Linked DNA regions of Schizosaccharomyces pombe. The protein of the gene in region 1 binds, or shares a complex with, the protein of each later gene. Each region holds a gene or a part of one and is shown on either strand. Other genes may lie near its edges. The genes, in order: snr1, rsm23, bot1 and rsm24.

Region 1 (6,132 bases):
GTTCGTACATTAATTAACAATCTTTAAGTGCATTGTTAGCTCACACCGAGTTTATATGATAAGGTATAAGAACTAGTACTAGGTTGGAAGAACTACAACTAATAACGGTTCTGACAATAAATCACTACCTCTTGTAACTCTAAGTTTAGTTACTTCGATTGTCAAAACGTAATTATTATATGAACACAAGTAGAGATGTCTATTCATTCTCTTCACCAATCTTTCAAAAGAATTATATTGAATACCTCTAATTTGTTGCTGAGACCTAAAACAATTGCTTTTCAAACAGCAGGAACCCATCTTTTGCTACATATGTTTACCTTACTAATGAGAAGTTATGAGCTGCAAATAATAACACTGCGATGCTACTAATGTCATTAAGTTAGCTTTAGCGTTGTTTACCTTCGTTAACTAGAGGTTTTACAGATTGTTTCGAACTCGTAAAAATTTTTAGCGTTGCAGAATTGTGTTCGTAGTCACACCAACTGTAATCCTCTCTGCTATCCTAAAAATTTTACAGACCCATTACCTACCACAAAAAAAAATAATGGCATATACACCAGGTTCAAGAGGTGGACGAGGTGGCTCTAGAGGAGGCCGTGGTGGTTTCAATGGTGGCCGTGGTGGTTTCGGCGGTGGCCGTGGAGGTGCCAGAGGAGGAGGACGCGGTGGTGCTCGTGGCGGTCGTGGCGGTCGTGGAGGTGCCAGAGGAGGCCGCGGTGGTTCTAGCGGTGGCCGTGGTGGAGCCAAAGGAGGTGCTAAAGTTATTATTGAGCCTCATCGTCATGCAGGTGTCTTCATTGCTCGCGGAAAAGAAGATTTGCTTGTCACCCGCAATCTGGTGCCTGGTGAATCAGTATACAATGAAAAACGTATTAGCGTTGATTCCCCAGATGGTACCAAAGTTGAATACCGTGTATGGAATCCTTTCCGTTCTAAACTTGCCGCAGGTATTTTGGGCGGTTTAGACAACATCTATATTAAACCTGGTGCACGTGTTTTATATCTTGGTGCTGCTAACGGTACATCCGTTTCTCACGTTGCTGATGTTGTTGGTCCTGAGGGTCTTGTCTACGCTGTTGAGTTTTCTCATCGTTCTGGACGTGATCTTCTTAACATGGCTAAAAAGCGCACGAATGTCATCCCCATTGTTGAGGATGCTCGCCATGTTCAAAAGTATCGTATGTTAGTCGGAATGGTTGACGTTGTTTTTGCAGACGTTGCTCAACCCGATCAGGCTCGTATCGTTGCTTTGAACGCCGCCGCCTTTTTGAAAAACGAAGGTGGAGTTGTTATCTCTGTTAAGGCTTCTTGTATTGATTCTACCGCTGATGCAGCTGTTGTTTTTGCTCGTGAGGTTAAGAAAATGCAAGAGGAAAAGATTAAACCTCAAGAACAACTTACTTTAGAGCCTTACGAACGTGATCACTGTATCATCGTAGGAAAATACTTGAGACATCAGTAAACAGAAATATATGCCATAAGTGCATGCTTTTTTAGTTTATCATATAATTTTTTTTGCTAGAAAAGCTTATGGTAAGGCCGTGAGCAATTGGAATAATAAAAATATATTTTGGGTATGCGTTTGGCAGTTTTGTCAATTATTTTCTCATTGTTTGATCCAATATGGGAATTATGGAATATATATTAATGCCGTTAGCATTCTTTTTTTTGAACTATCGTACGCACAGCTACCGAAAAAGAGTTTTAGTATGAGTATTTAAAATGGCTATCATTATTTTTAGCTGCTAAAAAGAGTTATGTGCTTTATCGCATGCTAAAACATAACAGGGTCTTTGAAATAAATCATCTTATTATAATACTGAAAAAACTTAGTAGACATAAAGAACAATATTTAATTTATGTAACCTTTGGGATTATAAATAAGGATAAGTCTTATAATTCCAAAGGGGAGTTTTACGTCTTCCTTTTGCAGCAAAAGATATCCCATTATTGTATTCTGAAGGCAACTTGAAATAGTTTTCTAAATCTTTAAAGTGATATTCATGGGATTTGCTCCATTTTGGATTTTTGGTCTTTGTAATAAGTTGAGCATTAACACCTTCAACAAAATCAGGCTGTTTAAGCATATAATAGGAAACGATATGATCATAGTAAAATGCTTCAGATATACTCCACTTAGCAGCAGACTTAATAAGTCGATTGGTAACAGCAATTGAAGTCGGAGATTTGCTATACAATGTTTTAACGGTAGATTTTGCAAATTCCGCTAAAGCACTAGTGTTTGAAGCATATTCTTTTAACGCACGAATAATATCAACGGTATCATTTTTGCAGAAGCATTTATTAATGACATCCATAACGTCTGGAGTAAAAGTGGGTGGTGAACTGCTAGCAAATTCGGCAAATTCCAGGATTGTATTATTGATTTTAGAAATATCAGACGTGTTTAACTCTGCAAGCCTGTCCTCCAAATGAGGAAACATATGCTTCGGAACGAAATGAGTTGCAATTCCAGTACGCAGGCAATCATATCCTTTTACGATTTGAGATGTCAATCCCAGATAAGTTCCAAAGTATCCTGGTAGTCTACTGAAGAAGAAACTGGCAGCCACGTCAGTAAAATAGCCAATTCCGGTTTCTGGCATAGCAAACATCGTATCTTCACACGCAATACGGAAAGGAACATGCATAGCCAAACCAGATCCACCTCCCATGGTGATGCCATTCATCAAAGCCACAACTGGTTTCTGGTATGTAGCTAACGTATGGCTTAATCGATACTCTTGAGCAAATGCATGGCGAACTTCAGGTAATTTTCCATCTTGTATTGAAAGTGCTGCAGCTTTAATGTCACCTCCCGAACTAAAAGAGCGACCATTTCCTTTAAGAATAATTACCTTGGCCAGATTTGATTCTTCTAATGAAACTAGCTTTGGTAGGATTGAATCTATCATGTCAACGTTGATAGCGTTCAATACTTTTGGCCTGTTTAAAGTAAATATCCTTGCTCCATTTTTACTCTCGTATAAAACTGTATCATTTGAGGAAGTGCTATAAAATTTTGGATTTCGAATAAACGCTCTAGACATGGTGCTACTTGCATTCAAAGAAAGGAAATTTGACACACTTGTTTTAAGTAAGGATTGCCTTAACATAAATCCAGATTTTTTCAAATCGTTAGAGATATTTAATTTCAATCCCATGAAAGCTAACCAAGTTAAATAACACCGATTATTTTTGCATAGACGGTTAACGTCTCTTCTACGTTACTTTATAACGAAGTGTGTTCTTAATTGTGAACTAATAACAAATCACAAAAGACCATTCGTAAAACAAAGTAGGTTTCCATGCATTAGCTGGGCAAATACTTGTCTCAAAAAATCTATATTTAGTATTAATTTAGTTTCTCAGGGTTTGTCGATTTTAAAAGTCTTAAACCACTTGTTGCATAGCATTGAGTACTCAAAACTGTTATTGTAATACACAGGTGCTATTTGCAACAACAATTTAAGGTGTCAGAATGAGCAAATTCCAAATATTTAATGTACGACATCACATAGTATAAATAATTATTTCTTCTATTTTAGGTAATGAATGAGATATCATTAATTTATCTAACAGTATACAGTCATAAAGTTCCTGTTGCATAAAACAACGTAATTTAATGAACTCGATACTTTACGCTTTACGATACTTTTGAATGCACAATATGTTATAATGAAATGCATTGTGATACTTAGTACATTGTGTTAGACTAATTGAAAGTAAAATACATCCATTCTTCAGGTACTAGTCGTCCATTTCACAAACTAATCAGAATGACAGCAAAAATGTTGCACTTGGTGCGATATAAATTTCCGTCGTTGGAGCCCGCGAGTCTTTTTCTTATTCCCGGAAGTTTCCTGCAAGAAAGATTTCGTCGAGATATTTTGCATCGTGCCGTTATTTATGAAGCAGATAATGACCGTCAAGGCACTGCTAGCTCAAAGCGCCGAAATGAAATTACTTGTTCCGGTCGAAAACTTTATCGACAAAAAGGTACAGGACATGCACGGGTAGGCGATGCCTCAAGTCCTATAAGAAGAGGTGGTGCTAAATCACATGGTCCTAAGCCTAGAGATTTCAGTACAAAATTACAAACCCAAGTTTATAATTTAGCAATGAGGATTGCGCTAAGTACAAGATTTATTAATAATGAACTGACCATCCTTGAAAATCCCATCAACTTAAGTCAACCAAAAACACGGATTTTGCTTGAAGTTTTGAAGCAACACAAGTTAGGACACGAGTACGGGAAGGCACTTTTTGTCCTTAACGATAATTACTTTGAAGATGAGTCCCTTAAAAATAATAATTTATTGCTTGCATCTAGACAGTTAGGCTACCATTGCTCCTTTATTCCTGTTGGTGAGTTTCAGGTTCGAGATGCACTAAAATTCGGTAAACTATTTATTGATTCTGAAGCCATGTCGTTAATTGTAGAGAAGTTTGCTCAACGAAATACACTAAGTGATATGGATCAACCTGCTTCCCTGACTGCTTATGTTGATGCAAATAGTAGTTCTTTTACGAAATCAAAACCTGAACCGTCTTTATCTCTATGATATGAAATAAACGCATATCTTTCAATTGTTTTTGAATTTCATGAATCTACATTTTCCGATTTTGGTAGTTACGGAAACATTATAATCCACAATCATTAATTCTTTTTTCAATCCTTTCTCTTGTCGTGTTTAAATTTTTTAATTTCGGCTTATTTAGTTTACTGTCTTGATTAGTTACCTCTTGGTTAACAATGGCTGGCATGTTCCGTATTCCTATTGCCGTCGTTCAGATTGCTGCATTTGTGCATCAAATTCATGAGTATCTTTTTCAAGTGCAAATGACATCGGGTCCAAGTATGATGCCAACATTAAATTCTGGGTATTGAAATAACGCTTTGTATTTATGGTTCTAACTTAAAAAGTGGTGAATTCGTTTTGTTAGATAAATTGCATGGTAGGTTTGCTCGTTCATGTTCTGTAGGAGATGTTGTTGTTTCGGCAAAACCTTCCGATTCAAAGCAACACGTGTGCAAACGAATCATTGGAATGGTGAGTATTTCACATGGAACGTTATCCTTTTTGTACTAATTTTATAGCCAGGAGATACAATTTATGTCGATCCCACCTCTTCAAATAAAAAAATAACTATACCTTTAGGTCATGTTTGGCTTGCAGGAGATAACATTGCTCACTCACTTGATAGTCGAAATTACGGACCTGTTCCAATGGGCCTTATTAAGGCTAAAGTTATAGCTCGTGTATGGCCACATCCCCACTGGATGTCTAACATTTTGAATGACATAGATGTGGAATAGGTATTATGAGCATTAAATATTATTCTACAACTCACTCTTGGCTCACCAGATGTTAATTGAAATGTATGAATTTATTAATATTTTTATGTTAGTTGGCAATTACTTGTTTGAAAAAAATGCTAATTCTAAAAACAAAAGAGAGACTTCAAAGATCGCCTCATAAACACTAATTAAAGATTAATAACTATGAAAAATTAAATTAAAGTACAAGATTAATGATAAGTAATAAAGCATGAAATAAATGTGTTTTAAATAAAGAATAAATCGTAGCAATCTCAGCTGCTGGACAATCAAATAGATGCAGCGAAACATGCTATAATCTTACCAATCACTGCAAAAACTCGAACCCAAAAATCCATCACCATCATCATAAAGACGATTTGGGGCAAACCCAAAGAGTCGCTCAACATGTGAACACGAGGACTCATGTTCCTGAAGTTTACTAATTGAAAGGAAAGGCTTCGTGCAGTAGCAACAAATGAATCGCGAGCGTGACAGTAAGGGACTACTGTGAAAAACTAAATCGGCATCATCAATATGCCTTCGTTTTGATGGGGGAGTAGAGAGCTCTGCTTTTGATGTTGATGTGTCATATTGCCTTTTACCTTTTAAAGCTTGCTTAGCTGCAATTCTGGCATCACATAATGTGCTATCACTATGACAAACACGCATAGGAATTCCACCGTAAGCAATTTCTTCATTTCCAAAATTACAGTCGGAAACATTAAGGGCCCGGCCTTCTTGTTGAAAAAATTTTGGTGTAACAGCAGGATATTGGATATCACCATTTAGGTTTGAGTAATTAAAGC
Region 2 (6,595 bases), 910 kb from region 1:
ATTCTTCTTAGGTAATAGACGAATAACTGCTGGAGGCAAAGTAGTTTTCTGAGTATCCATCCTAACATTGTTCTGAAAATATTAGCTTTTTGCAAAAAATACTTTAAAATACCTCGTTTATTTTTTCAAACGCTTCCATTTTCATTGATGTAATAAAGGGTCGGCACAAGAGTTTCCAAATATCTTTTCTAAAATAAACAGTTCGATTTCGTAAATCACTTGATTCAGTGATATAAAAAAAAGATTGTAAAATAGGTATTATAAACGAATTGTATAGCCAGTAGATGAATTCCGCAAATATTTGCTTGCGTTTCTCAAAATCACTTAAGCACATTTTCGCATTTGACCTTTTTCCAAGGACTAGCCATTCAATTTCTGAAATCTGATTGTTAATTAATGGTAAAAAAATTTGGCATATTACCTTTATGTTACTCATTAAATAATGTAAACTAAAAGACTCGTATCTCGATAATTTCAAGAAAGTTTCGAGGTCTGGTAAAATCGTTAGTGGTAATAAATTTTATACAATACCTTTTAATATTATCTCAAATATCCTTTGGTTACCCCAGATTAATTTAGGAAACACTCGAACAAGAATGGATCGAAGAAACGCAAACACCTGGTTCGGCTTTAAGGAATAACTAAGGATTTTTTCATCATCGTGGGTGTCAATATATGGGCAATAATGGTTGTAAACTTTTGATAGAGAAATACGATGGAGTCGCTTTGCTGTTTGTTCAATTAAAGGGTATACCTTTAGGAGACGTTTGGGCACAACTGTACTCTGTGATACCAGTGGAATCACTTTGTGCAATTGCTTCACTTGAAATGCGTTTATAAGTCCAAATTGCCTTGGAAAAATCCATTGAAGCCACATGTGTACTGTGTTCCGATCACAAATAGAGTGTAAGTTAAAATATAGATCTAAAATTAGTTATGAAGGATAACAGTATTAGTTACCTTGCTTAAACTTCTTATAGGATGACCTGTAAAAAATGCTAAACCTACTAATTGAAATGCTATTCCAGGAAACTTCTTTGCGGGCGCTTTTATTTTGAGTAATGGATGTTTCAATGGTTCGCTTTCTTTTTTTTGACACAGTTTCCTCAAACACATTATTTTTAAAAAGTGGTATGCCAGAAATCTGAAGGTAATTGTCATTTGGAAGAGCCTCAAAAATACTTCCTTTGGATAATAAGTAATGCATGGCATCACTGCCGATACTATACTTGTCAGTCTTGTTCAAAGTGCGCAACATCTTAACCGGTATTTACATTTCTAACAAAAGTTGCCAATTTTTTGACTCAAGTATAGATATAAGGTAATTAGGAAAAGTAGAAACGAGATCATTTTGTACTCCGTTTACATGCATGGCTCGAAAATCTTCATGATTCTTTATCGGTTAAATACAATCTCTTTGAAACAGTAATTGCAGGTAAATATTTCACAATTAGAATACCTTACCATGGAAAACCCTTTCATCAGTAGATTCCTTCGACGCTCAAAACTTTCATCGAACATCTGTTTTACAACATTCGCTATTAGCTGCCCATATATTAGCTATCCCGAATAGAAAAAAATCAAAACAAAAATATATATACCTCTGACTGTGAGCATTTTGGAGAAGAAAATTGAACACCTTCATCTGGCTTACTGTCGAAGCCGACTACAGTCGAATGAAGAAAAATAGAAAAGGACGTTTGTACATCGCTTCTCAAGCGTTCGCATATATTGCTATACGAGCTTGCCGGCGACCCTCTCAAAACAAGTTGTACATAATCATTTAAGGTACATAGGTATACATATTGATTCTCTAGAAAGCGAAGAATCCTGCTTTTGGGGGTATGGTGTTCGGTCATGCAAGTTACAAGTAACCATTAAGCATAACTATATATATGCAAAGTGTCCTACTGATCATAACGTTTTAAATAAATAGTGACCGCAAATATTGATTAATATTTATAATTATAGGATTTTTTTTATATAATGATAGCTAATAAATGTTTTGCAAAGTATCTTTAAACTAATAACATTACACGAGTAGAATCACCAATCTTTCTACTACTATCAATTATAAGCGAAACTAATTTAGATTATTCATTAGGGGGAATAGTGAAAAAGGTACGATTCCAGGAGTAAAACGGAAAAAAGCCTAATACGAGATGATACATATTTGGAACAACATGAGAATAGAAAATAGAAAAATAAAACCGCGTTAAAGGAGTTGTAGTGGATAGAAATTTTTGAATATCTCAATCATGCTAGACGTGTGCAAGCATCAAAAAACTTTCGCGGATTACCACCACTAAGGACATGATTTTGCAAATAATTATCAACCTTTTCAAGGCAAACGTTGGATGATACCAAATACTCCATCATGCGACGTGACTCATCTAAAGTGTAAGGCTCCATGTTAAGAATATGCACGGACTGTAATGAATCTAATATAGTCTCATCAGAAGATTTGTAAGGATTTCTGTGAGCTACTCCAAGAGCTATATCCAATGACGGGGTAGAAACACGCGGTTGGCTAGAAGTAGCAGCTAAAACAGTACCACGATTAAAAGTAAGCGAACCCGAAATATATTTGAAAAGTAAATTAATAAAGTAAAAGTCTTTAGGGGGAAGGAAGTTGTTCTTTTTGTCCTTATACTTGGTAACGACCGATAAAATAGAAATATTATCGATCACTAATAACACCTTCATATTGGAATTTGACTTGGTATTGTTATTGAGTTCTTGTAAAAATATTTCCAGAGATTTAGGAGCGTTCGAGGAAGCAATTAGCTTATGAAGAAAGGAAAGTAAATCGGTACCAGCAGGAATGCATTCGTTCTGAAGCAACTCATGACTTTCAAAGGTCTTTAGCTTCTTAAGTTTATCAGAATTAGTTTTCATAACAGAAGTTAGAAATCCCTTAATTAAATCTGGTTGCACCCACAACTTGAGTTGCTCATCATAACCATAACTACTCGTTGAATTTACCCATCCTTCGCAGTTATGGACTGGCAAGACTATAAAATTAGGTTGTGATAAGGCGAAAAGTTCAGCTTGTATGAGAGCAATACTTCTTCCTGAACCTGGAGCACCATCAAGAAGAAAACGTCCGTCCTTCGTACCCTGGTCTTTGGAGCGCTGCAGTACATTCACTAATTCAGTTGTAATTTTCCTGTGCAAAAGGGAAGCACTGGTAAAAAAGGAGAAACTTTTTTTTTGTTTTTCTAAAGCCCCAAATCCATTAAGTTTATTAAGCAATTCCTCGGGGATTTTAAACATCTTACCTTCAGACTTGCTGGACCAAGACATATGCGGATGAATTTCAGAGGGCTTCACCTCTTCTAAAGTATTTTCTCCTTCATTTAAGAGATGATCCAATACAACGCTACTATTGGGAATAGTCGTCGATTTCTCTACTGACGAAGTTGAGGGGGGAATTTCATTAATTCTTGGCGCTTCCGAATTTTTTTGACGCTGCTGGTTAGAGCTTGAATGTATATTTCCTCCAACAGGTCTACCCGTATGCTGGTATTGTGAGGATGAATAGTATTTGTTAAATGTGCATTTTTCAAAAGTGTAGAGTCCTCCCAGTTTACTACCGCAAACAGTCAGTTTTCCACCGGACAGGATATTAGAAATTCTCTCTGTATTCTTAATAATACTACTTCTGCTTCTAAACTTCGGTAGCATTTTGTTAGAGGTATTTTTTTCTCGTAAATCTTAAGTATACATATCTGTTCTCACGTAAATGAAGAGACTGACTGCTTCCGGATGGTAAGTATTTACTGAGCTCTTAGCGCATTGCTAATATTTTTTAATAGGGTAGATTTGGCGTTCAGTAATAAAGAGAACTAACGTATTGCTAATAAGTGTCTCTACTTTTGCAAAAACTAAAGAATCGTAAAAGTTTTCTTACTTTCTTCGTTTGTCATAAAGAAAGTAAAAACAGTAGATTGCTGAACTGAAAGAGAGCTTTTTCTCTTATATATTCAGTAGTTTGATAAAAATTTTGGAGTTTGAAAGAAGAATTTCGTATCCTGAACCAACTTTTTAACAAATCAATTTTGCAGTCTTTTTTGAGAACTTTTTGTCACTTAATTGTATTATCAACCCTTTTTTTTTCCTTGTCCCTATTTCGTTAATCATGTCTGCACAAATAGAAAACTCCATTCCTCTAGATTTCGATTTGGGAAATATGGCTGCATTTGATATTTCTCCCTTAGATGAAACTAAGCTTAGCGGTTCAGAGAAAGAATCATTCCTTTTTTCTCTCAGTAGAGATAACGTTCAACAATTGGTGAACAAAATGATTTCCTTGCCTAAGGAGCGTACATCAGATGGCGTCCTTTTACAGCTTCCTGAAACTGTTACACCTCTTCCTCGTGCTAAACCTTTACCTAAACCCAAGCCCGAAACCAAATGGCAACGGTTTGCTCGTATTAAAGGTATTGCTCCTAAGAAGCGGGAAGGCAGGTTGGTGTTTGATGAAGCATCTGGTGAATGGGTACCAAAATGGGGTTATAAGGGTAAAAATAAGGAATTAGAGACACAATGGCTTGTTGAAGAGGGAGAAAAGGAAAAGAAGCTTACTTCCAAGCAAGTGAGAAATACCTCAAAAAAAATCAAGCGCTCTCGTCGCCATTAATTGGTCCTGCTTAAAAAAAATTTTTCTTAATTTAAAAATTTACTATAATTTAGCTATTCATGGGTTAAGTGGTATAATATCATTTTTATTTTGTTATTATCGTTTGTTTTTGTTTGCTACAACTAAAATCCCTTCTTCAATTGGGATATCAACGGGTACAGAAGGAATATGTAAGACATCGGTTATGTGGCTGCTTTGTTTACACATTTTTATGTGTTAAAAATTAACGAGCACTTTTTTGAAGCTGCTACTCGAAAATCGAACGTTAAAATGTTGAATGTTTACGAGTTAAGTGTAAAGTAAGTTTTAACAGCAACTGTTTTGATACACTGTGGGATTTCCTCCAATTGAATTTTCTAATAACCTCTTGTAAAAAAAGTTTCATACAGTTAAAATGCGACCATATCGTAGTTAATTATTATTTTCTGTATGCAGTCTTAAAAGGCTGGAACATCATATTAAGAGCCCAACTCATGGCTAACTGATATGCAACATTTTTGAAATGTTCAACAAACAGAATTTCATCAGACTCAACAATAACAATCCTTTCTAAATTACTATATAGATTGCAACATCAGTCTAAATATCTGAATGCATTAGTGGTGTAGCGGTAACATTGGAGCTTCCCATGCTCTAGCTCCGGGTTCGACTCCCGGCTGATGCAAATATAGCTGTGAATTTTTAAAAATATAATTGTTTATGTTCTAAAATTGGTTTTTGCATTTTCTATGAATGATATACTCAATCAAAACATATCCTTTTGAGTGGTAAACATAAATTTTTAGTAGATTATATAAATAAATGTGCAAGCCATACTTCAATTTCTAATCATTTTTAAACCGAGTGTATAATAAGTTTTCTAATACTGACTTGTTTATTTAAATATTTAACATAATAATTAATTTTGATATGAGATTGATGCTTTTAGTAGTAATAATAAAAAAAATTTAAAAAATGCAAATAAATAGAAAAAAAATTAAAGAAAAACTCATTAATCCAAAAAAAAGCTTACCAATATTATCATTTGTTTCTCGGTTGGCTACTTCGTCGATTTTATGGTGTATATCATTAATTTTCTAAGTATTGTTTACGTTCGATATTTTAAGCAAATACTTAATGCATCCCCAAAGACCACTAGTTAGTTTTAAAAAATAAGAAAAGAAAATAATTTATGTACAAATAACTTTGCTTATGTTGATAAAGTACAATATCATTGTAGTCATTCTTTCAAAAGCGGAATTCTTTCCTATATCCACTAAGGTAACCTGGTTATTCTTGCCGTCCGCAACAACAAAGAAAACAGCTATTCAACTATTTCATTGATAAAAGCGTTACTCTTTGGATTAAATTAGCATTGTATTTAAAGAAGAAATCGACTCATCAACGGCCTTGCTACTCTGTTTTAGCTTTGTGAGATCTAATCAAACGCGCTACGAACTCCTAAGTGCCCGCGTTTGAGTAGATAACTCATTGAATCAACAGCCGATTAAAGATGAGTAACCCAAGGATGTTCCAAAGCCGTGGAAAAAGAGTTGTTTCAGATAGCTTGCCTATAGCCAATTCGACACACACTTTAGAAGATACTTTGAAATTACGGCCTGACTGGACCATAGCGTTAAGTCAACATGAAACTGAAACAAGGTCGACAAGAACTAGTTGTAGCACTACCACAGAATCGACGATTGCTATGAGGAGTAAACAAAAAGCCATTATTTCTGTTCTGGAGGAATTTCGTGATTCAGAAGCCGCTTACGTTCATGATCTGCATGTAGCTCAACGGTACTATGCTGACCGATTATCGGACCGAGTAAAAAAAAGCGAATGGAAAGATGTGTTTGAGATTTTTCTGGTATTGTGCAAGCAAGCATCACTTTTCGAAATCGAAATGCACAAATCCTTGAACGACGAAATCAATTACATTTTGGATGATCAAGATGCCTGTTTGAAGCCTAA
Region 3 (6,114 bases), 750 kb from region 1:
TTTGTAATTTGTAAGAAATGATAATAAAACATTCCGGTCTCAAGGTGCAACTTCATAATCCTTAGAAAAATTGTTTGTTCTTGGAACAATAAGTGCCACATTCTTGATTCCTAAGATTACCTTTCAAAAATTGTTTGGTTAAATCTTGCTCGCATTTAACTTACAAATCCTAGAATTGAATGTCTTTCATAACAAATTAGTGCAATGGGGATTTTTGGGAATAATTAAATTTAAAAGAACATATTTGAATATATCTGTAATACTTATTATACCCGAAAACTCGTAAAATATTTCAATTACAAAGCGACCGTTTTTTGTTAGAAGCTGCTCATGGTAGTATAGGCAAGTTGAATTACGCAAACGCCATATGAATCCAAATGTTATAATCTATCAAAAGTTGAGAATTTATCGCTAATTAAAAAACTAAAATGACTCTGAATGGAAATATAATGAAATATTGCTTGTTAGTTGCTCTCTGTATTTGCTATTTTACGAAAATTCTAACATTTGTTTTTAGAGAAAAGGGGGAAATTTTAATCAGTTTTTTACTGATTGCGTTGGAGAGCATGTTTCGAATATGTACAGTTATTTTACCTAGTCCACTTCGGAATTGGTTTTATGAGCAATCAAAAAAGTGAGTCAGCTATTACTTATACCATTGTCACTGATACTAACCTCGGGGTTTGCAGAGTATACTCGTACTTTTTGCCTGAATTGTTGGTAGATGATAACGCGAATAAATTAACTGATGCAAGAGATACCATCGATTTATGTGCACTTCATGGGTATGATCTGGAAGAACACTTTGTTCGTACAACTGATGGCTACTTGCTTGGCTTGCATCGGGTGTATAAAAAGAAAAAAGGAAAAATTGAAGAGTTAAATTATCTCCCACCTGTATTATTTATTCATGGGCTAATGATGAACTCTGAAAGTTGGGTCTGCAACTTGAAAAAGGAAGATGCCATTCCATTTGCTCTTGTGGAACAAGGATACGATGTTTGGCTTGGAAACTTACGAGGAAACAAATATAGTATAAAGAATATCAAATTCAGCTCTCAAAATCCAAAGTTTTGGGATTTCAGTCTTGATAGTATCGCTATTTTTGACATACCTTCCATTGTTAAATATATACTGTCCGTTAACAGTTTTGATTCTATAAGCCTTGTTGGATTTTCTCAGGGCGCTATATTAGCATTTGCAGCGCTGTCTATTGATACTGAACTTCGCAATTCCGTACGAGCATTTATTGCTCTAGCTCCTGCAATTGCTCCTAAAAAGTATAGTGGTAGAACCGTTAAATCTATTATTCACGCTAATAGCCAACTTCTTTACCTAATGTTCGGTCGAAATTCCATGCTTGGTTCTGCTGTGTTTTGGCAAGCAGTTTTATATCCGCCAGTTTTTGCAAAAATTGTTGATCTGTTTCTTCGCTTTTTTCTGAGCTGGACCGGAAAAAATATTTCCGAAACTCAGAAAATCGTTGCATACTCCCATCTATATTCCTTTACTTCTGTCAAATGCTTTGTACATTGGGCTCAAATTACGCGTCGCAAAGTATTACAAATGTACGATGACAGTCCAGGATTTAAGCCAAGTTACTATACAAATCTTAACCGAATTGCTCGCTATCCGATTGAAAATATACGTCTACCTATTACTTTAGTTTATGGCAGTAACGATAACATGGTGGACATTGAAACACTCAAGACCCAACTTCCACCATTATCTCAATGCATTCAGGTATGTTCTGAAACAGTTGTAGCTTCATTTACTTAAGTGGAAACTAACAAGTTAAAATTAAAGATTCCTAACTATGAGCATCTCGACATCATCATGGGAGATACGAAAAAGGACATAGTAATTCAGCAAGTCGTAGAACAACTAAATCATGTCATTGCTGGAGATTACTTTGAAAGCATAAAAGAAGAATTTGGACTTGACACAGAATTGGTTGACGGCGTTATGAACCATACAATATAGTGTTCATCGCTTCTGAAACTGGCACAATGTATATTTAATATGTTAGATAAGTTTCTGTTCTAAATCAAACTGAAGCACAGTGTTGTATAGACTGTTTCATCGTATGTGCAACCCTTCTTATCAGTATTTGTATTAAACGGCTAAAAAAAGTTTCTTTGTTTAATTTGAAAAAGTCAATATGGCAACGAAAGCAAAAAAAACTATGCAATTTTTATATGTACAAATAACTTTTAGATAATGCAACAACTAGAAGAATTTGCTGAGTGAATTTGTAACAATTCAAGATTTTATTTCGCAAAAGTTTGAAATGGATTGTACTGCCGCTAATGCATGCTAAGGGGGTAAATTTTCTTTCAAAAACGGGAAATAAATGCTTGATTTTCAGGTAGTAGATTTTTTTCTCTTAACATAAATATCCCCGCCGGTATCCCTTCTATACACATTACCAGTAGAAAGATCAATGAGCCTAAAAACACGCTTCCCAACTTCGCTGGGGCTTGAAGAAATTAGCTCTTCATCTTCATTCAAATCTTTGTGCTCATCAGATGTTTTGTGGAAGTGAGTAGCGTTTTGTCTCATGTTTAATTCCTCAATCGAAGGCCACTTCAGGATTTTAGCAGCCTCTTGAGGTGTAAACGTTTCTCCCTCAGGCAAACTCTTCCAAAGGGATACTGGATTGGAACGCAAAGGAATATCGTTTCCGTCATTAAACTGCATCATCTCAGGTTTAGTACATGCGTTCAGCATTTTCTCCATAACTTCATTATAACTATGAAGAATCGGCTTCTTTTTTTCTTCGAATTCATCATTTATTCTTCTCAACTTTATAAGAGCTTCAATCCTTTGTGGAGATGTGTTGAATTTTCGAGCAAGCACTTCTATACTTGCACCCTGCAAGTATTCATCGGTAATTTTCATACGCAAAGAATGAGATATAGGCCTAGGAGGCTTAAAAAAAGGGTTTAAAGGGAAGGGCTGATTTGTATTAGGTCCCAAGCCTACATTACCAGATGATGAGGACTTTGCTTTCTGTACTTCGGGAGACATTAACCATTGAGCCATCATTAAACGTTGTTTATGACGAAGTGTATTCTTAGAAACTGAAGAAGCAACATCATTTGGGGGTGTTACAGATCTTGAGTTGCAAGCAACGTACTTTGAATCAATGTTCTTTTGAGTGTGTTTATTTAAATCAATATTTCCCCCATTGCTTAAAAATGCTCCAGTACTAAAGAATTGTTTCTTGACTGCTGAGGTATAAGTTTTATTTTGAGATAAATTAAAAGCCGTTTTAAGCCCTAACTGTGAGAATTCCACTGAATTCCTCATTTAGGTGCGTTGGAAAGGTTTCTTGTGTCACTCCCCAAAAGTTAGTAACACGCCCTAATTCTATTCATCAAGATAGATATAGAAAATAAACTTCAAAAAACCAATAATTAATGAGACGATTTAGGAAAACTCAAATTTAACCTCCGGCGGTCAAGCAATCTAGCTCCATTATAAGATCCGATTAACATACAGACGCTTGATTTATTTATGAGACAATAACTCTCAGTATGCAATAAAGTAAGATTTTGTTTATTCTATAGAATGTTTGAGAGTCAGTTCCAATATTAGGATACGAACAGTTATACACATCAATACTTAAAAAATAAATACACAATTTAAGTCATAATTTCTACAGAATCAAACGAAAAAAATTCATTAAATACGGTCATTGCTTCTTTAGACAAGAGTTTCGCATGTCCTTGATATTTTTGTTTGGCAATTGACACATCAACAAATAATAAAGCGGATGGATGGCATTAAATTGATTAGGAAATTCCAAATTGAAAATTAAAGTAGAGGAAAGTTTTAGAATACATGTTATACAAACAAAACGATTTGTGTATCATATTTGTCAGAAAGTTCATAACCAACAATCTCAGCTTAATACCTAAGTTTATTATATTCGGCAAAAAAGGGGAAATAGGTTTAAGGAAACATTTATAAACTTACCTCAAATTATTTAGAGAGTAACCAAAAACCCAAAAAGCAATCAACTAATGAAGAGTGCATGGGCTTAACAATTATTCTAAAAACTTTAACTGAGATGTTTATTTCAAATGTTGAAAGGGAGACAATTCAAAAAGATTTTTAAAGTTAAACGACAATAGGCATATAATTGACCCTACTAAGGCAAAATCCAAAGTGCCTTTCAAAGACCATTTTGTATTTGACCGACTAAATCGTAACCCACTTCCTTTCAGTCTATTATCATAATGTACATTATTGCGAATATGTGTTTTAGAGAAAGCATTTTATGAAGTCATTATTTGGTATCCGAGGAACACTTCAGTAGTAGTTCCTTGCCATCCTCGATTTCCACTAGCTGAAAACATGAATTGACAAGAAGTGTCTACATAAAGCGAACTGACAAGACCTCCATGATGACCTGGAATAATTAAGAACCCTATGCCGGCCTTGCTTTGAAGATCATAAAGGCGGATATTATCAAAGGAGGAAATTACAAGGTGACGGCCATTCGGCATCGAATAGACATTTGAAACAGGACCCGAATCGAGAGGCATTTTTAAAGAGCGAACAGGCTCCTTGCCAGAGTGAATGTTATATTCTTCGACGATTCCATTTCGGCGGCCAATATATATATTATTTCCATCCGGACTCCAACATGCAGACATAGCCCATGGTGGTACACCCTTGGGGACGGGGTATTTGAGAACAGAATCGACCATGCGATGGTCCCATACATTCATAACTCCATCTATAGACGTCGTTAAGAAAATATTGGACTCTTCGGATGAAGATTCGGAAGGAGCTTTTATGTTGTCATTGTTAGTAGTAGATTCGGTTTGAGAGGGTTTTTCTGTCTCGTTCTCCTCATTTGCTTGAACAGATTTAGTTTCTTCTTCAATGGCTTTTTCCACCTCTTCATCAAACAGTGCATCGTAAGAAGAGGAAGACGCAGGTGTACCGAACAAACTACGCATGTCGTCCGATTCAGAACCCCAAGGATTTACAGCGCCTGATGGACGATAAACTATATTCGAAATTTGACCACTCTCACAATTGTATGTAGATATTGCATCACCAGTGTTAAGGTCCCAGTAATAAACCATTTTGTCCCAGCTTCCACTCAATACTTTTTTCTCGGAACCATGTAATGCTAAACACGAAACAGGAGCCGTATGCTTTTTTAAAGAAGTAACGGGATAACCCTCTTGATGTCTTGTAGAGTACAGTATAATATCTCCATTATTGACGCCCGAAAGAACCCAAAGACCTCTGGAATGAGCTGCAAGGCTATATACCGAAGATGGTTTATTTCCATCGTAAGCATTCTCCCAGTAGTTGAGTAATATTCCAGCCTTCGTTACTGTATCCACAAAGGGATGTCTCTGTGCAACAGTCAGGGAGAGATCACCATTAATGCTAGGAAAAAAATCATACTTCCTTATATATCCGTCTTCCCCACCAGTGAAAAGCCATTTTAAATCCGATGTGAAAGCAAATGCGTTTATGCTGGTAGCCATAGGGATTGCCAGGGTAGGCACCACATCATAAAAGCTGGCCGTTGAAGCCTTTTGTTTTAATTTCTCAAGTGGATTTTCCTTTGGTGTTTCTTCAGTTTCCTTCTTTTCAGAGGTTTGCTCAGTATCTTCATCGTTTTCGTTTTCATCTTCCATTGTATCCATCTCCACGTCTTCTTCACCGGACTTCTCATCAACCGCGTCTACATCCTCATCTTCTTTTTCGTTCATTACATTTTCTTCAGGATTTTTATCCTGATCCATATCCGCATCATCATCGTCTTCTGGATAAAGTCCTAGATTTGAAGTCAGTAAGAAGTGATATCTCGTTTATAAAACGAACCGTCAGAAGGTAGCAACATTGGATATGAAAAGGACTCACTCTCTTCTGCTTCCATCTTTAAAATATACACAAAAAGAGTTGTAACCTTAAAATGCTGCAATGCAGCAACAATATGTTTTGTTTACGTTCCCTCTGAGATATTAAAAGGAATTATAAGTTTAAGACCGTTGAATATATTTAGCGTAGACGCTATACCTCAATAAAAAGCTTTAATAAAGTCTTAAGTTTCACTGAATGTTACCATTAGAGTACAACTAA
Region 4 (5,804 bases), on another chromosome or scaffold:
ATATTTAATCTGGTATACCCATCAATCTCATCGTTTTCGTTAGAATATATGGATTCTGAGGCTTCCTCCTCCAATCTGGTAATACTCACTGACGAATGTTGATTTTCATTATGTTTAGAAACCCATACATATCCATTTACACTAAGAATAATGTCGACTCCACCTGCTAGAGCATAAGCATGTGATTTTGATCGAACGACCAACGCAGGAGGAACCTTAAGAAAAACACCATTTCTGAGTTTTCCATATTTTAAAGAACGTGTATGAATTGATACAGAACCATCGGAAAAGTACTGTTGAACTTCCGCAACTAAGAGATCGCCTTCTTGGAAAAAGCTACGCATCTGAAGCTCATCAGTCTCTAGTTTTCGTCTTTGAATGCCACCAGGAAGATTAATAGAAGAGAGCATAAGCACAGCATTCTGTTTGGCACCAATATCCACTTTCCAGCGTTTTGGTTGGACTTCAGCAATTTTCCCAATGATTAAATCACCAATTTCGGGAACGTACTTAGAACGAAGAGGTTTCACGGATATCAATTTATTGACCCTTTGTACAGATCCCGCAACAGATGCATATATTCCTCCATCCTCGAAATACGTTCCATGACCGCGCATAAATTGAGGATCATCAGTCACTAGTTGTCCGGGTGTAACTAAATTTTGATGTATCGATTTATCAAATTCCTCTAAAACGTCTTCTCCGTCTACAAGACCCATCTGTTCATCCTCCATTATTTCATCCTCCATTTCAGTCATGGAAACATCGTTTACGATGTCAGCTTCACTAGAAACATAGAATTCTTCAGGTTTTAAAATTGTAACCATTTTTAAGTATTTCGTTTGAATTCGACAAAAGAAGATACTGGGACAAACCACGACTTAGAATTCTTAGAAACTACAAAACTAATAACTACCCTTTCCACAAATCAAGATTAGTCGGGTTATGTTGGATAATTAGCTATAGCCACTAAATTTAAACCAAATCTGGTCTCCTGTAATGCTTTTACACTAGTGTTTATGCAAAAGTGAAATTTACACTGATTCATAAAGCTAAAGAATTTTAAACCGCTAAAGTAACGCGTTGCTCCTCGTAAAATATCTAAAGGTAAAATGATGATGGGTTAGTAAATTTGAAATATTCGATGGATTAAATAAGAAGCTGGGGAAAAATTATGCAAAAACTATTAATAAGAAGAAAGAATTGTCATTAAAATCAAATTGTATACATTAGTCAACCTTGGTCAGAAGAGGTCTGATGAAAGCTATGAATCAACGAAGAAAAAATGGAAATAATGCTTTATTCTTCAATAATTATCAATATTCAAACTTAATAAACGGCTAAGTTTACAAATTATAAAGCCATTAACACTTTCAACACTTTTTTAAATTTTATTTTATCAGGGCAGATTTACGATACTTCATGAATTGTTAATAGTCAATTAATTTCAACAAAATTTTTAATTAATTATTTTAAATTATCCATGTCAATTCCATCACAATGTCAAGCCAAATTGTATTAAAGCAATATTGCAATGGAATAAATTAATAAAATATCGTTGTCTGAAGATTTCTGTAATAGGTTATTTATTCAATTATTTTATAATTTTTTTTTTTTTTTTTTTTTTTTTACAAATGACTCATGTAAACATTAACAGTCTAATATTACTGTCTACAGATTGTTATATGCATTGACTTCCATTCGTGTTGAGTACTCTAAAATACTCAGCTCCTTAACATTTTTGCAAAGAACAAGTTATGTGGGTCAAGGTATTTAGTTTTTACTTAACTTAAAAGTAATACAATACAAACATTGTAAACATCACGGTTAAAGAACCCAATTAAGCACTATTTCACGTTCATAATAATATAGTTAAATAAAAAATACAGATTTTTTAAATCAAGTTCAATAAAAGATTATTTCGTAAAAAATTTTTTATTTTACTTTGATAGGCTTGAATTAACACATACAGGGAATAATAATGACTAGACGCTGAGCAGATGACTTGCCATCACTCTGTTTACCCCATTTTCTTAAAAACATTGCGTCTTTTTCTTATATTTAAATCATTCTTAAATGGAGTTTCCTGTTTTCTCATGAAACTTACAATTGAATCGAACTTCTTTTAATTATTTACTAAATAGCGCTAGTAATGAAAGTGCAATATTATCTAGCTGCGCATTGTAGTATCTTGTTTGACTTCTGTGAGTTTTCATTGTGATCGGTAATATCATATTATATATAGGTGTGATGTGGGTAGCAATTTGTTGTAAGTATTTATACATGGGTTACGTTGTTACCTGCCATTAATTAACATATAAACGAACCTGTTTCTGTTCAGATGTACTCTGTTTATAATCTTTTGGAGTAAACATGATCAAACACAAACAAGTACTCAAAAGAATAGTTATCAGCAATTATTAGTAAACGAATCTTAAATCTATCCTAACAGATGACATATAGTGATACGCAGCGTAACGTAGTGTAGTCTTGCTTACGAAAATCAAAATATAAGGATAACTAACACACTTTTTAAACAGCGAATGCCAAAAAAGGATGGGAAGCAAGTGCTATTAAATTCCTAAGAAAAAAAAAAGCTTGAAAGTATTATTAGGTGTTTTTATTCAATAGATGTTATAAATGCAATTGAGTAGAATCGATGCTATTTTACGTTACTAACCTTCATTCCAGTCTATTATGTGGTTTTTACTGGTTCTAACTACTAAGATTTAGTGTGTTATAATTATATACAACGAAGTCAAGTCAAGGACAACAATGTTTATACATTCTTCACTATCCCCTTCAAGTACCTTTTTGTAGCTTATTTAATTGTTTTGAGCATTTGGATTGTTAAATTTTAGAAAAAAAGTTTTTGTTAGATTCAGATTTCCATTTATAACGGCCACTCTTTTCGTTTCAAAGAAAATATAAAATCCGGTATCATACACTACTGCGCATTCGTTAAATGTGGTTTATTTTTTTTTATAATACAAATATTACATATATTTAGTGTTTTGGGTGGTTATAAAATGGCTTTTAATCCCCTTTTATCTTTATTGAAAGCAGATGCCATATTCCTCGGGCAACTTTCCAAATCAAGCTTTTGTGCTACTAGTAGAGCTTTCTCTGTTTTCTATTTTACAAGATTTAAGCGAAGTGCTTATGTGTCAGCGCCTTTTGGAATCGAGCCTCATGACGAGAAGGAATTGAAAACAATTGATGATAACGTCCATTCCAATAATCTATCATGGCAGAAAATACAAGAGCACGAGGTCATACGTGAATTGTATAGGAAAGCTGCTTATGAGCTTCCTGGACTTACGCGTAAGTTTACTGGGTAGTTTTACCTTAGGAATTCTATTTCACAATCACTTTAATATGCTTAATGTTCCATTTTCTCTGACAATTATAGCTTACACACAGTCTTTTAAAAAGCCTGCTGATAGCCAGATCTTTAGGTTTGAATCTGATGTCCAAATGTCTTCGTTTGAGAAAATGAATCCGAAGGTCGTTGTTACATTTAAAGTTACGAATATTCCTTTGCTAGAGGAGAAACAACGACATGTATTACGATTATTGGTTGGACCAAGATATAATCCGGAGGAGGATTTAGTCAGAATATCTTCCGACAAGTATTCTTCTGCACTACAAAATAAATATCATCTTATAAAGATATTAACTTCGCTCATTGAAGAATCGAAGAGAAATGCTGAAAAATTTTCACATGTCCCATTGAATACTGGCCATTGGAAATACAAGAAGTGTGATAAACGGATGCCACAGGAATGGCTCGCAGACGCAACTACACTCACTTCTAAAAAGAAAACAACGATTGGCAAGCAATCACATAATACAGTACTTGAACGAGAATCGATAGCAACTACAGATGAATAATATGAAAGGAAAGTTTGTTTAAGTTACTATTAAAATTAACGAGTCTATAATGTAAGCTAATATTGAAGGAATTAATCCTTCTCATTACTATATTAAGATGAAATAAAACTGTAGTATAAAAGGTACTGTTTCTCTAATCATAAATTTCTAACGGAGGGATTTTGTCAATACTACTGAGCCAATTTCTTGCGTTTGATTCGGTAGACATCCATTTTAATGGAAGTTCTACCAACTGTCCCCGAATGCCACGTAGTAAGTCGTAAACTACACGTTTGTCAGGAACTTGTAAACCATTATTAGTACGGGTTTTTGGTTTCTCTGTCTTCGAATCTTCACTTGCACTCGTGTTACCACTACCTTGGGAACCAGCCTTTGGATTTTTTGGATCATTCTCTGACTTTTCATGAGTTTCGTGTAGATTTGACAACTCCTCCTGACGCCAGCGGGCTTGCTCTTCTTTAAAGCGTTTTCCATATTTTTTCCACTCATTATATGATTCCCACGTTAGCATCTCGTCATCCGGTACACATCGAAATATGTGCCGATAAATAGTAGTATTGTTTGAAGCCACTTTAGACCATATGTCTTCAAAAAATTCATCGCAGACGGGGTCCTCAAAGCTTGAAGCGTCAAATTTAGGAATTGTTTCTCCACTAATAGGATTCACCTCAAGCAATGGTATATCATCATAAAACACAAGTCCATTTCCACAGTGTGGACGACTGGGTTCAGGCACTAGATGATCAGGGTCTTTAAGTACCATTGGACGTTGATCCTCCCCACATTGAGAGAACTTGGAAAGTTCATATAATGAGTCCTCCTTTGTTTTCAGTGATAAGGGGATGCCGCCTACTAGGGCGTTGGCTATAACATCAGGCCCTTTTTTAGACTTCTCGTAGTTCTTTTCAAACTCGACCTTGTCCTTTTGAGTTTTAATATTGAATTCAATCGAAGAAGGAATTAAACTGACACGTTGATCTAGTTTCTTCATACTCTTTTCAGCTTTTCGTAAGATGTCTGGAGTAGTGGTAAATTGACTCTGAGAACGATATTTCATTTTCAACTCTTCAGCAGTGTAAGCAGAACCATTAATGGCATTGCCTTCATCAGGAGTCCAGACTTCTACACGTTTCCACTCTGTATCGCGATCCAAGCCATCCATGTTGTATTCTCGTTGTTCAAGCACATCGGTCTCTAAACCTAAGTGCTCCCTCATAAGTCGTTTCCGAAGAGTGTGTGCAAATTTTCCAACTTTATAGGGCTTACCGTCCATCTTGGAGTCAATGGTTAGAGTATCTCTAATTACCGCAGCAATTTCAGAATCGCGGTTACCAAGCAAAGAACGTTCATTAATGTTTGCGGAACCAATGACCGCAACTCGATCGTCTGCAATAAGAATTTTAGCATGAACATAGATCATTTCAGTCACAAGTTCATGGTTTTCTCCCAAATGGGCCCAACCGCGCAAACCATAAAAACGCAAGTACTTGCTGCCATCAATACCCTTGGCATTTAACCTTCCAAATATTGAATGTTCACCATGGCAAATGCTGCGATATTGACATTCCACAATCAACCTAAGACTACCGCCCTCTTGTAAATCTATCTGACCTTCAAAACCGGGAAGCAACGGAATCATTATAACACCACGCCATTTTTCATTATTTTTGTGAGCCCTTATAATCCTCTCAACTAAAGCATCTCCAACACGATTTTCTATCGTCGTACCTTCACAAGTGGTAGAGGTTACGAAAAATTGATTTTCAATATAAATAAAATGTTCGCTCTTTTCTATGCACGTAACATAAGCATTCTGAATACTTTGCTCAACAGTATCAACTAAACCTAAAGACCATAGTCCGGCAGATCTCAGGACTTGTACTTCGCAGGTACCGGTCAATTGGCTATCA

What was found.
Region 2: snr1 (region 1) and rsm23 share a complex: the UniProt entries of both Schizosaccharomyces pombe proteins name them as parts of the mitochondrial small ribosomal subunit.
Region 3: snr1 (region 1) and bot1 share a complex: the UniProt entries of both Schizosaccharomyces pombe proteins name them as parts of the mitochondrial small ribosomal subunit.
Region 4: snr1 (region 1) and rsm24 share a complex: the UniProt entries of both Schizosaccharomyces pombe proteins name them as parts of the mitochondrial small ribosomal subunit.

Annotation. Positions count from the first base shown.
Region 1 is NC_003423.3:2,978,097-2,984,228, reverse strand, and holds snr1 (mitochondrial 37S ribosomal protein mS47 ), read right to left. Parts: upstream 3,228-6,132; 5' UTR 3,168-3,227; coding exon 1,878-3,167; 3' UTR 1,789-1,877; downstream 1-1,788. Other genes in the region: fib1 (fibrillarin, rRNA and histone methyltransferase), read left to right, coding at 548-1,465; yml6 (mitochondrial 54S ribosomal protein uL4m), read left to right, coding at 3,783-4,568; mmp1 (endopeptidase catalytic subunit), read left to right, coding at 4,760-4,887, 4,931-5,057, 5,105-5,323; MBF transcription factor activator Rep1, read right to left, coding at 5,645-6,132. UniProt on the Schizosaccharomyces pombe protein: Component of the mitochondrial ribosome (mitoribosome), a dedicated translation machinery responsible for the synthesis of mitochondrial genome-encoded proteins, including at least some of the essential transmembrane subunits of the mitochondrial respiratory chain.
Region 2 is NC_003423.3:2,064,252-2,070,846, forward strand, and holds rsm23 (mitochondrial 37S ribosomal protein mS29), read right to left. Parts: upstream 3,740-6,595; 5' UTR 3,688-3,739; coding exon 2,257-3,687; 3' UTR 1,936-2,256; downstream 1-1,935. Other genes in the region: telomerase reverse transcriptase 1 protein Trt1, read right to left, coding at 1-72, 113-382, 422-492, 532-924, 961-1,223, 1,275-1,393, 1,465-1,545, 1,602-1,859; ribosome biogenesis protein Rrs1, read left to right, coding at 4,142-4,642; gef3 (RhoGEF for Cdc42/Rho3/Rho4 (Gef3)), read left to right, coding at 6,135-6,595. UniProt on the Schizosaccharomyces pombe protein: Component of the mitochondrial ribosome (mitoribosome), a dedicated translation machinery responsible for the synthesis of mitochondrial genome-encoded proteins, including at least some of the essential transmembrane subunits of the mitochondrial respiratory chain.
Region 3 is NC_003423.3:2,229,800-2,235,913, forward strand, and holds bot1 (mitochondrial ribosomal protein subunit S45), read right to left. Parts: upstream 3,324-6,114; 5' UTR 3,313-3,323; coding exon 2,365-3,312; 3' UTR 1,984-2,364; coding exon of another isoform or gene 1,807-1,983; 3' UTR 1,744-1,806; downstream 1-1,743. Other genes in the region: SPOM_SPBC14C8.15 (triglyceride lipase-cholesterol esterase), read left to right, coding at 429-463, 518-634, 690-1,743, 1,807-1,983; SAGA complex subunit Spt8, read right to left, coding at 4,284-5,809, 5,857-5,911. UniProt on the Schizosaccharomyces pombe protein: Component of the mitochondrial ribosome (mitoribosome), a dedicated translation machinery responsible for the synthesis of mitochondrial genome-encoded proteins, including at least some of the essential transmembrane subunits of the mitochondrial respiratory chain.
Region 4 is NC_003424.3:561,141-566,944, forward strand, and holds rsm24 (mitochondrial 37S ribosomal protein mS35), read left to right. Parts: upstream 1-2,785; 5' UTR 2,786-3,029; coding exon 3,030-3,324; intron 3,325-3,333; exon of another isoform or gene 3,334-3,412; coding exon 3,413-3,894; 3' UTR 3,895-3,933; downstream 3,934-5,804. Other genes in the region: exosome subunit Rrp4, read right to left, coding at 1-827; phospholipase D Pld1, read right to left, coding at 4,028-5,804. UniProt on the Schizosaccharomyces pombe protein: Component of the mitochondrial ribosome (mitoribosome), a dedicated translation machinery responsible for the synthesis of mitochondrial genome-encoded proteins, including at least some of the essential transmembrane subunits of the mitochondrial respiratory chain.